Linked DNA regions of Caenorhabditis elegans. The protein of the gene in region 1 interacts with the protein of each later gene in a pairwise test. Each region holds a gene or a part of one and is shown on either strand. Other genes may lie near its edges.

What was found.
Region 2: the proteins of ztf-18 (region 1) and K04G7.1 interact in a two-hybrid assay, tested with the Caenorhabditis elegans proteins (one large-scale study listed by BioGRID).

What each region holds. Positions count from the first base shown.
Region 1 is NC_003281.10:890,678-897,800, reverse strand, and holds ztf-18 (C2H2-type domain-containing protein), read left to right. Parts: upstream 1-2,142; 5' UTR 2,143-2,196; coding exon 2,197-2,340; intron 2,341-2,387; coding exon 2,388-2,453; intron 2,454-2,502; coding exon 2,503-2,634; intron 2,635-2,700; coding exon 2,701-2,966; intron 2,967-3,648; coding exon 3,649-4,462; intron 4,463-4,803; coding exon 4,804-4,945; intron 4,946-4,993; coding exon 4,994-5,370; intron 5,371-5,965; coding exon 5,966-6,421; 3' UTR 6,422-6,475; downstream 6,476-7,123. Other genes in the region: F23H11.2 (TATA box-binding protein-associated factor RNA polymerase I subunit B), read right to left, coding at 1-145, 196-434, 630-722, 769-898, 945-1,598, 1,663-1,862, 1,914-2,015; T24C4.10 (uncharacterized protein), read left to right, coding at 6,697-6,729.
Region 2 is NC_003281.10:7,160,589-7,165,516, reverse strand, and holds K04G7.1 (Integrase zinc-binding domain-containing protein), read right to left. Parts: upstream 2,806-4,928; 5' UTR 2,764-2,805; coding exon 2,707-2,763; intron 2,664-2,706; coding exon 2,554-2,663; intron 2,506-2,553; coding exon 2,275-2,505; intron 2,230-2,274; coding exon 1,905-2,229; intron 1,788-1,904; coding exon 1,491-1,787; intron 1,431-1,490; coding exon 1,151-1,430; intron 1,104-1,150; coding exon 961-1,103; intron 912-960; coding exon 678-911; 3' UTR 557-677; downstream 1-556. Other genes in the region: Pre-mRNA-splicing factor syf-2, read left to right, coding at 3,402-3,530, 3,578-3,929, 3,978-4,201; rnp-7 (U1 small nuclear ribonucleoprotein 70 kDa), read left to right, coding at 4,367-4,516, 4,561-4,743, 4,790-4,852, 4,900-4,928.

The DNA.
Region 1 (7,123 bases):
TCGCATTTCTAATTGATGAATCCATGAATCGACATCAAAATATTGATCATCCTGCAGAGCACATTGAGCATTATCGAGTTGAAATGTTAAACGAAGAGTTAAAAGAAGATAAGCAATGAGTTTTGCATCTGGAGACAGTAATACTCTGAAACCAAAAGGGTTACTTTTCGCGAAAATCGTTTTCAGGTTACTCACTCGTCACAAAAATCGGCATCCTGTGTGCCTCGTTCCTTTCTTCCGAAACTTGTTAGAAATCCCGAATAATAAACATTCGGAGACATTGCCGCTAGTTGTCCACAATTATATCCCATATCCACGTCGACTTGTTTCAGAAGCTGTGGGCTCACATCACATGGAATTATAGATTCCAGTATAAGCATTCGACTGAGAATGTCTGAAGGAAGATTCAGATTATCCACGAGACGAGCGGACATCTGGAAGGGAGTGAAAAAAGTGATTACATGTTTTCTTGTTGATATCTTTTTTCATGATTGATTTTTCGTTTTTGAAAATTCTAAAAAGGGTAAAATGAGTCGTACGTGCGAGGACCCACAGTCTTAATTTTGAGTAAACACATTATTTTTTCATGAAAAGTAACATTTTAACTTTGGGAATTCTTTGTCACGAACACTTTCAAAGCTTTGCGGAGCCATGCTGCTTGCCAATTTGAGTGATTGATGAAAGATCGTACAAGTTCGCATGATTTCGTAGAGCGGAAAACGCTGGAAAAAAGCATATTCACGCAGGACTAGATTCGAGAAAACGCACTAGAAATGGCTCGGCGTAATCGACAATCGTCGGCTTCACCACCTCTCCTTGTTTCATTCGTTCCGGCTGACTTTGACGGATCAGGCGGATAGATCGACGAGAAATTCGAAAACGGTCTTCTCGAATCCACCTGAAATTGTGAACGTTCTATAGAAGTTTCAGATGATATTTGTCACCTAACAACGTCAGATGTTAGAATAGTCTGATAGCCTGAAGACATCAACGCCGAATGGAGGATTGCGACAAGCATTTCTAAATTTAAAATCAGTTGACTCGCGCGACGTAATGCTTCTTTAGAAAGTGCCGTCGTCACTTTTCGGACAAATCCCATTGTAGTATCGTTCACACGGATTGATTCATCTGGATTCTGTGTGGTTTCTAACGTTAAGTCATCAAGTTGCTGCCCTCCTTGAGCATCTTGATCTCCGTCTTCATCAGAAGCTATGTCCAAGTGTTCAGTGATATTACCCTGGGTTAAAAGGGTCCATGCTGCTGCAGACTTGCTCAAAGCATTTACTCCTTTTCCACGCTTCGCCATTCTTTTTCGTTGCTTTTCTTCTCGCTCTTCTTGTTCGTATCGAAGATTTTCCATGACTGCTACAAATCGAAGATGCTCGTCATTGCCGCATTGTTCAGAATGGCAAAATGCTACTTGACAGTGCGCCAGGTATTTTTGAAAAGTGGCGAGAATATTTTCCTGAACCCGTGATTCGAAATTGAGCTCGTGGACCAGAATGTGTCCGGATTTCGCGAGAATTTGAGTGAAAGAGAACAGTCGGAGTGCCAGCCGGTATAAGTAGTCGGGTGTCGCGTCATGTGGTAGCTCGAGTCTGAAACATTTTTATATAAATGACTGTGAACTTCAAACTGCACTGCAAAGGTTAAATTACCCACTCTTCTCCTTTAATTGCCTGTTGTTGCAAGAAATCGCTTCGTTTTTCGAGAGCTTCCCGCATCACTTGTGCTTTTGGAAGATTTACTGGTGCTGCATTATTTCGAACTCGTTTTTGATCATCATTTTTTCGAACTTTCACTTTTCCTTGTCCAACGGTCTGTTGTAATCCTCCTTCTTCTTCCTCAAGCTCTTCAAAATTCTGAAATGCTTTTAAGATGAATCGAGATTTATTAAATTTGTTTTAATATACCTCAAATAAAGCGCCACATCTATCGCAATATTTGAATCCGTCATTAACGGAAAATCGGTAACCGCCACAGGCATTGCATTTTTCATTTTTTGCTGAGTGCATGTGTTTGATAATGAAAATAATGAAAATAAATATTCTTGCTGTTTTCCGAGAGGTGTGGAAGTACGCTCTGTCTGCAAGGGAGAGTAGAGAGCCTAGACGCAGACACGGGAGAACATTTTGAATTCCGACATAAAATTTGTCTCTCGCATATTTTTAAAACGCCATAGTTTTTTCTTAAAAAATGCTGCCATCGACTTCAAAATCTGTAGAAGTAAATGAAAATTCGGAAGAACCGATTGAACTGGAAGAGAATGTAATAGTAGTCACCGGCGACGAAATTCAAGCAGAAATCGCAGTTGTCGACGGAGAGGAAGTGATCTTTGCGGTAATCAATTTGTTCTTTTTTTGTTTGAAACATCAAGTCTTTTTCAGGATGATGACGAATATATAGAGTACGACCCGTTGAGTATAGCCAATGATCGGAATGCTGTGTATGACGTAAGATTCTATACGGAAACGAATCAGGCAAAAATTAAAAGAATTTCAGATATACCAACCACACGAGTCTGAAAATGGAACATTCATGTGTAAAATTTGCATGCGAACTGGAAAAAACACGGAATACGAGGACAGATCGACGTTTGTAGCTCATCGATACAAATGCCATGGAAGTTTTAATGTGAGTGGCGGCGGCGGCGGCGGATTTTTTGATTTAATCAATTAATAAAATTTGTGAAATTTCCAGAACAACGTAATGTGTCCCCTTGGAGACTGCCGGGAAGTTTTCGCTTCTTTGTACACCCTTCGACGCCATCTTAGCCAGCAGCATGAGCTTCCGATAGAAATTCACTTGCAATCTTTTGTGAATATCGGAGAGTTCGAGAAGTTTCGACATTTGGTCGAACTTGCATCGGGATGTAGATTCATGATGCACACAAAACAACCGAAATATCGCAGACAGGTTATGCACTGCTCGAAGAGTGAGCACAAATTGGTGTTACAAACACAGAAGTGAGTTTGGAAAAAATCGGCTGTGATAGAAAAAGATCACTGAACTACGTAGGAGGTGTGACAGTATTCAAGACTATCTAGGAATTCGAGGCCATTCAGGAGTTGCGCAAGTTTATTTAGGAGCTTCACTTTACGTAAGACGCAACCAAATCTACTCAGGACGTAAGAAACAGTACGCACGATTTTTCCCAGGGAATCAGAGAATTTCGCTGTTTTTTCTCTTTTCGAACAAAAAACTCCCGCGGAAAGTCACATTCCACAATTTTTGAAGTTTTTTGGAACTGGCCTAAAATGTAATTAAATCGAGGAATAAACATCTAATAAAGGACCAAATATCAATTAAGGAGTGATAATTGAATAAAAATTAAGTTCCAACCGCTGCGACTCTGATAAGTTGCCAAAATTTGAGACTTTAGCAAAAAATAGTATATTTTCCAAAACTTTAAGCGGCCGTAACTTAAAAAAAACATTTTCAGAGCGTCTCATTGCGAAATTTGATAATTTTGGACCATTTTGGCTCTAAAAAAGCAGTCTCAGATTTCGGTACTCCACCTTTAAATGAGTAACGAATTTTTTAGTTCTTGTTCTAGTTATAGGCCCAAAACGGAATTTCAGACAACTTTCGAGCCAGTTTCAAACTAAAACTATTTCGGTACTCCACCTATAATGTCTCTTCTTCCAGACACCGACTCCCACGTGAAAGAATGTTGAAAGAAGGATCAGCGTGCCCCTCAGTCATCTCATACCGTGTCGAATCCTCCAGCGGTGAAGTACATACGTTCATGCAGCTCTATCACATCGGTCATGCTCCTGACACAGAATCTCAGAATAGCAATGCAGATAATGCTAGACCAATGGATATAGTGTTCCCCATTAAACCAGCATGTTGGGCTAATCATCCAATGCAATATGTTCAAATCGATGTTCATGAGATGCCAACTTCAATTTATGGAAACAAAATATACGACAACATTCTCATCGTCACTTGTCTGAAAACACGATTTTTGTGGGCGAAACCACTTTTCGAGTGCACAAGAACAGCGATCGGACGAATTTTGAACTCGATTTTTAATGAATACGGTGTTCCGGAGGGATTTTCAACATCATTCTCGCCGACATACATCCGGGATACAATAAAATCATTGGAAAGTGTGTATGCTGTGGAAATTCGAGAAGTTTGGAATGAACCGCTTCCGTATAATTGTCTAGAACGATGGGTTCTGGAACTAGCTCAAAATGAGCTTGGAACACGAAACCGATGGGTAGAACAATTGCAATTTCTCGTAATGGAATATAATCAGAAACCGATTCCTGATCGAATGGAGACGCCATTCGAACGAATGTTCAATAGAAAAGCTCCTAATTTATATCATAATGGAGATAATCAAGAAATCATTCACGACAAGTATATTTCTTATCATTCAGAATTGAGAAATGAAGAGGAAGGTGTTGAGAATCGATTGAACACTAGTTTTGAACCTGGAAGAAAAGTCTTTGTAAGTAATTCGAAAATTTATATTTCGAAGAACGGAACATTTTGTAAATTAAAAATTCAGATTTCTCAACAAAAAAATCATAAAAAACCGAACATTTTCTGATCTTTCATATTTCGTCTTTGGCGAAGCAAAAAGCGAGAAATTAATACAAAAAAAGGAAAATCGGCACAATCTCTACAGTAGCTATTTAAAGAGGTACTGTAGTTTTCGCTGCGAGTTATTTTGCGCGTCAAATATGTTGCGTGATACGCATTCACAGAATTTCGAGTTCCCGTAATACATATAGCATATTTTATATCAAAATATGTTTTTTTTCTCCTAAAGAAACATATTTATTTCAGTTACGCAAAGGAATCACAAAACCAAGACGTGGAAACAACACACAATATTATTTCGGTTACATTGGAGAAGTCGATCCATCAAACCCATACTATCCGTTCAAAGTTCACTACACAAGCTCCGATTCTCCATGGCCATCAGAAAGTTTGTTAGATTTGATAATTACAAATTTTGTTTCTCAAATATTTTCAGGAAACATCTACGCATGGGTCAGCGTGTTCGATCTTCTTCCAACAATTCATGAAATCAGCGAAATGTCAATGACTTCCAAGAAAGTATCAATTGCTGGACTATTATGCTCATGTATGGGCATTGAATCATCACAAAAATATGATCTAACTGCTATGGGAGATATAGCTCGAGAATCGTCGAGATGCTTGTTATTCAGAAATTGTTTATGTACAAACCAAATGTCTCGATTTTGTTGTAAACTTGTTGGAAGAGAGCACTGCAGATTTCATTCGGTATATCCGGAAAACGACGAGTCTTACGCGAAAATGGACGCAGCGCTCTCATCGTTTATTGCGTATAACAAAGATTCCAGTAAGGAAGCTGAGAAGGATTTACAGGTGAGTGTTACGCATCATTTTGCAATTTGCAAAAATCAAAGAAACAGCCGAATTAAATTTAATTTCCCGCGCAAACGAGTGACGTCATTTTCTACATTTTCACGTTTTCTGGCTAAATTTAATGGTTTTTCTTGATTTGTCTTCTATATTTGATTTAAAACACCATCTGTCAATTTTTCAAACAAATTTCAAAAAAAAAATAAATATTTAATTGCCGCTTTTAGGTCAATTTCTATCGGGTTATCAAGTTTTCTTCACGGAAAAAAGTTTGAAAGTTGAAAACAGAGTTTCAATCAAATATAGAAGAAACAATCTGGGGAAACGGGCAATTTTAGCCAGAAAGCGCTGAAATGTAGAAAATGACTTAATTTATTAGAGCGGGAATTCAAATTCAAACATTGTTTTTTAAGTTTTACAGTTATATTCGTTTAATAGGGTCTATTTTCTGTCATTTGAGACGAAAAATGTTGTCTCTACTTCACCTTTAATACATATGTTCCATTGATAGTGTGTCTAGAGTCTCGGCTCAAAAACTATCCACTACTAAAAAACTTTGAAACTTTTTTTGGAATCTAAAAATATGTATTTTCTGCAGGATTCTACCCCAATAGAACAAATATTAAATGAAGTTGGACGACGGCGCCTTGAAAGTGAAATAACTGTCGAAGATCCAGAAGATCTGGCTCCACCAATTCTAGAGCCAATGGAACCAACAGAAAGACATTTGGATACAGAGGAGGAGGAAGAGGAACCAAATCAAATTCCAATGGCCTCCGAGCATATTGATATTGAGGGAGTCGACGAAGAGGAAATTATGGAACATTCGGTCAATGCAATTTCAGAGGAAATCCTCTTCGAGTATGCTGATGATAAACGAGATGATGGTCCTTCCACGCCGAAACGTGGCAGGAGAAGAAAGTCGCCATCAGAATCGGCGGGAAAAAAGAAGAAACTATCGAATAATGATGAATTCGTGGAATCTACAGTCTCTAGGCGATCATCAGCGAGAAGAACTATCAGACCAAAAAATCTAGATGACTATGTTGAATAACTTGAAATTACTTTAATTCCTTTTTTATTTAAAACTCATAAATACTTTGAATATAGACATTTAAATTCCAACAAAAGTGTGATAATCTACGTCCAAAAATGATGAGGGTTGATAACAAGTTTTTGATTTTTTGATGTATGCTCCGTGCTCTCTTCGAAGCGGTGTGTAGGGTTTTCCGGTTTGTCTCTCCTCAAATGATCATAAACTTTTCAATTTTATGACTGTTTGACTGAAACAGTCGGTTTTAAATTTGTATACGTATATTCCAATAAGAAATGACGTTAAATGGATGTGGTGTGCGCCAAGAGGTTGGTTTTTAACATTTTCTGGCAATGACTTCTGATTGAAATTCTGTATTACTCGAATGAGGACCTTTGAAATAGGTTCCAATAAAACATTTAGATGTAGTTGAATAGTGCATTTTTTATGCAATATTTAATGATTTTACGGGTGTCTAGTTCAATGCGGCAATCGGAAGCTTTTTTTAAAACATCCATTTAAAGTAAATCAAAATTTTGGACCGATTCTACAAGCTCCGAACGTGGTGAGAAAATGCACTGCAAAATTCAACAAGTTTTTTCCATCTCAAAGCTCTCTACACACTGCAGCAAAATGTTTTGTATGAACTTATTTGGAGGTATTCATTCAAATGAAACAGGTTTCACTAAAACACTGTGCCTTTTTTCCACTTTTCGACTTTAA
Region 2 (4,928 bases), 6.3 Mb from region 1:
GAAAATTATTGGCGGCAAAAGTGGTCCGTAAACACGTTCACGATAAAATGCACAGGGGTACGGTTTGTGAACCGTAACTCCAATATAATTCGATCTGTTTTATCGAATTTTTGTTTCAAATCTTTTCTTTTCACTTTCTTTGATAGAAAAACCTTTTTAAACAATCAGACTAACCCTTTTGTATACATAATAGCTTGCCTTGCCAGTAAGTGAAACAAATCTTCAAGTTTTCAAACTAGTACCGTTGTATCTCTCGTGTTGTCGAAATTGAGTATCCTTAACGAAAATAAAGCAAAGCCAAGTCCAAACAGAAGTTTTTGTTAGAGAATAGTGTAGACTAGCTCGATACGAGTTAGGAATAATTCAAAAAAACATTAAGTTCAATTTTTTACGCATCGATTTCATATTGATGTGTTGAGGAAAAGTTCACGTAATGCTAATATCAACGAGACGATCCTGTTCACAGCAGTAATGAATGAAATAAATTCCTTTAAAACTTTTAGAAAGATAACATCCTTTTTTGAGTTGAACTTCTGTGATAAGGATGACTTCATGTTTTAATCTTTTTAGGATTCATTACAAAACTGTCACAAAATTTCAGATATAATTAAGGAAAAAGATCGTATGTGAGTTTAGTTATTAAGATATTGTCAAACAATAAAGAAACATGTAAGCTTCTACTGGTGACGAATGTGCCGACGGGGATTTTGCGGAACCACTTCTTCCTCTACTTCCTCGTACACTTGGTGATGATTTTCCATGACATGATGATGCTCAACTTCGAGTTGTTCTTCCTGAACTTCCTCTTCTTGTTCGATGTATCGGGTGATTGGAATTCGCATGGAAGCTTCATACTGTTCATGGAGTAGTTTTTCTTGCATTTTTTGTAGATGAATATGACGTTGGAGTGCCTGAAACGTGTCTTATTATAATTTCAATTTTGGTTTTCATGCGAAATACCTCGATCTGCAGTTTGCATACTTCATCATTGGTGGATGGCGCCATAATAACGGGAGGCAATCCTGCATTATCACCACGAAGAATAGACGAAGGATCAGGGTACTCGATCAGATGTGGATTTGAGCGATTTACTTCGGTGTTATCTAAAAATTTCCAACATTCAAAATAAGACTGAAATTTAAAAACCTACCTATTCTATCCGAGTCGCCGATTGCCAGACTGAAACGATTTGCCATTCCTCGAATACTTGGCAACTCTCGCCTTCTCTTTTTCAAAAGTCCAGCTGTAGTCGTTGGAGTTGGTGATAATTGTCGTCCAGATGACTCATAATCTCTCATATCTCTCGTCGTTCTTCCAGTTCTCATCTCCAAATGACGTTTTTGACTATATCTTTGCTGTTCATGGTTCATTTTTTGTGGTGATGCTGAAGACGTCGATTCTTGAGAACGAGAAGAGACAGCAAGATTTCCCTGAAAATAATTTGTTTTGATCGGAATTCAATAAGAACACTTGACTCATTCATTTCTTACCTCATCTTCCGTTTTGAAATTATTCGAGTTCAGTACTGCTCCGCCAACAGTTACTGGATGTGCATTGGGCAGTTCTTCATCTTTTCTTTTAACTTCTTCTCTTGATCTCATCATTCCATCGTCCATTTCTGGAACTGTTTCATACATCATATCAGGATGATGAGTGAACATGTCGCGCCCAAAAACTTCGATAAACTCGGGTTCTGTGGCACGAGATCTTTGGTGAAATGGAAGAAGATATCCAACTGATTGATTTTTGTGTTTCTTCACATATGGTTGTCGACGGAACGTTGGCGGCTGCAAAATATTTTTTAAAAATTTGAAAATGCAAATATTGTGAATTTGGCAATAATTAAAGTAAATTTAAAACGATTTTTGCTTAGAGTTGTAGAGAATCTCAGATTCTTAACGTACCCCAGTCTGCTGATGGTTACTGTATCTGCTTCTGAATGCATGCTCAGTTTCTTTGAATGTATATGATGTCATCCTTGTAAATGATGCTTCGCGAACTTCATCCTCATTGTATCCCACCAATTGAAACTCAAATCGATCATTTCCGCTGGAAGAATCTCTAACAAGCACGGAAATATCAAAATGCTCAGAGGTAATATCCACAGGTGCTTTTGTTATTTTTCTGCCTTGTATTTTCTTTGCTGTACAAAAATCACAAGAGGCAATAAATGTTTTAACATCTTGTCGAACCGACCGCCAGTAGAGTTTCCGAAGCACGACCATCTGCCTATAAGTAACAATTGTCAGCTATTATTATAGTAGTTTTACTTACGTTCTTTTCTGCCCAAGATGACCAATAAGTTCGTGAATTCTCTCAAGGACTTTTTGAACTTCTCCTTTCTTCACTACTACTTTTGGAATAGTATTCGCAGACTTCTCGGGATTGTAATACAAAAGAGTTTCCCTATCGTCCGCCATTGAAAAACATTTACAACGAGCTCTCCAATGACTCGGCGCACTACGATCAAGACGAGAGGAGACACTTGCAGGAACTTGGTCCGTTCTGGAATAATGCTTTAAATTTATATTACTCAGGAAAAATTTTTTTTACGTTTTGAACATAACAATATCTTGATATTGGTCAATTGGCATTCCACCATATTCGCTTCCATCATGGGCTTCATAGTGAATACTGTCATCTTCATCATTTGCAACCATTTCCTTAAATTTGAATAAAGAAAATTAATGATTCAAGCACACTCACTCTCATATCATTCATATCGTCATCCACTGCAATTTCCTCATATCCTTCGACTACCATGTTGTCGTCAACTATCTCAGTACTGTTCATTAACATCATCAGCTGAAATTTAAATTAAAATTTTAAGAAAAAACTCAAAGTGCCCAAAACAACAAGAACGAACAATTGGAATAATGTTGAGTACTTTTAAATGGTCTATTATAAATATTTTTGAATTAAAATATATTTTTAATATGTTTAAATTACCGCCAGAGTGAGCAGAAAAGGCCCGAAACGTCACATATTGACGCGTTCGGTGTGACGAGCGCAAGACTAGACGACCGCGACGCGACCGCTACGCAGCGGAGAGAAAAGAAAATTGTGCAAGTGCGCTGTGTTGAACTACTCGCCCAGATTAATTTTCGCAATTTTGACTCGATTCTCAGCATTTTCAACTAGAAAATAAAGTTTTTATTTCCATTTTTGAACTCCTTATCGATAGTACCATGCTTATTTCTAAGAAAGCCTTCTTTGTTTCGCAAAGCTGGATAGTATTAATATGTTTTGAACATGTAACTATCGGTTTAAAAAATATAGATTGTAAATGAATTCAAATCATATCGGTTCTTCTTTTTCTGATGTTCAAAATATTCTGTATTCCGTTTCAATGTAGCTTTTCTTCTCAACTTTCTGGATTTCTCTTCAACACTTTTTCCTAGATGTCTTCCGAATCACAATCGAGCAGCAGTGGGCCGTCGTCCAGTGGATCAAAAATGAAGGATTTCAATCAGAGGTTCCGTGATCTTCACAAACTCCGCCAAAGAGCGAGAAAAGAGAATCACGAACAGGTTAGTGTTTTAACGTTTACATTTTCAATTATAATTTAAAATTGTAGGTCGTTGAAGAAGATCGTCGCAGCAAACTTCCAAAAAACCACGAAGCAAAAAAGGAAAGAGATCAATGGCAGGTTAAAGAGCTACAAGATCGAAAAGCTGCAGAAGACAAGGGATTGGACTATGAACGTGTTCGCAGTTTAGAGATGTCTGCAGATGTTACTGAGAAGCTTGAGCAAAAAAGAAAGAGAAAGAAGAACCCAGATCAAGGATTTACTTCTTACGAAGATATGACTCTTCGTCAACATACTCGCCTGACTGCTGCTCTTGATCCAGATCTTGATTCTTACAAAAAGATGAGAGAATGCGTTGGAGGGGAACAGTTTTACCCAACTGCTGACACACTTATTCATGGTAAGGAGCAAAACTCATAATTTCAAAGAAAAACCAAAGAGTTTTCAGGAAATCACTATCCGACAACTGCTGCAATGGATAAGCTCACTAAAGATGTTCACGGCCAAGTTAAAAGACGAGAACAATATCATCGTCGTAGACTTTATGATCCTGACGCGCCAATTGATTACATCAATGAGAAAAACAAGAAATTCAATAAGAAACTGGACAAGTACTATGGAAAGTACACAGAAGATATCAAAGACGATTTGGAACGTGGAACAGCTATCTGAAACCGAGGATCGCTTTTTTATTTTCTTTTTCAGACATTTTTTCAACTTTTTTTCTTCTTTTGTTTTGTTCTTCATCTTCCCATTCCATACTATTTTCTCTCTTCTATTCGATAATCTTTGTACCTACAAAACTCAAATAATAAATAAAAATTATTTTCAGGTGACATGACGGCATTTCTACCTCCCAATCTTCTGGCGCTTTTCGAAGCACGACCACCAGTGCAATATCTTCCACCATGCCAGGACCTACTAGTGGACAAAAATGCTAAAAGGGCTCCGATGACTGGAGTTGCTCAATATATTCAATTATTTGAGGTTTGAACGTAACTTTATTATTTTGGAAGCTATTTTTTTTTCAGGATCCGAAAGATACTCCAGCAAAAATCCCAGTAGTAACAAAAGCTGAAGCAAAAGAAGAAAAAAGACGACAAAAAGATGAATTGTTAGCATATAAAGTAGAACAAGGAATCGCCACGTGGAATCCAGCTGAGAATCCAAGAGCTTCGGAGGATCCATATCGCACTCTATTCGTTGGACGAATTGCACGTTTTTTTAAATGTTAGAATGTGTTTTAGTTTATATTTTCAGAACTATGAAACGTCTGAAAGCAAGTTGAGACGAGAATTCGAAGCGTATGGTAAAATTAAAAAGGTAAGTGTCTCGTTTCTTCCAAGTTAAGCTTTCATTGTTTTTTCCAGTTAACAATGGTCCACGACGAGGCAGGAAA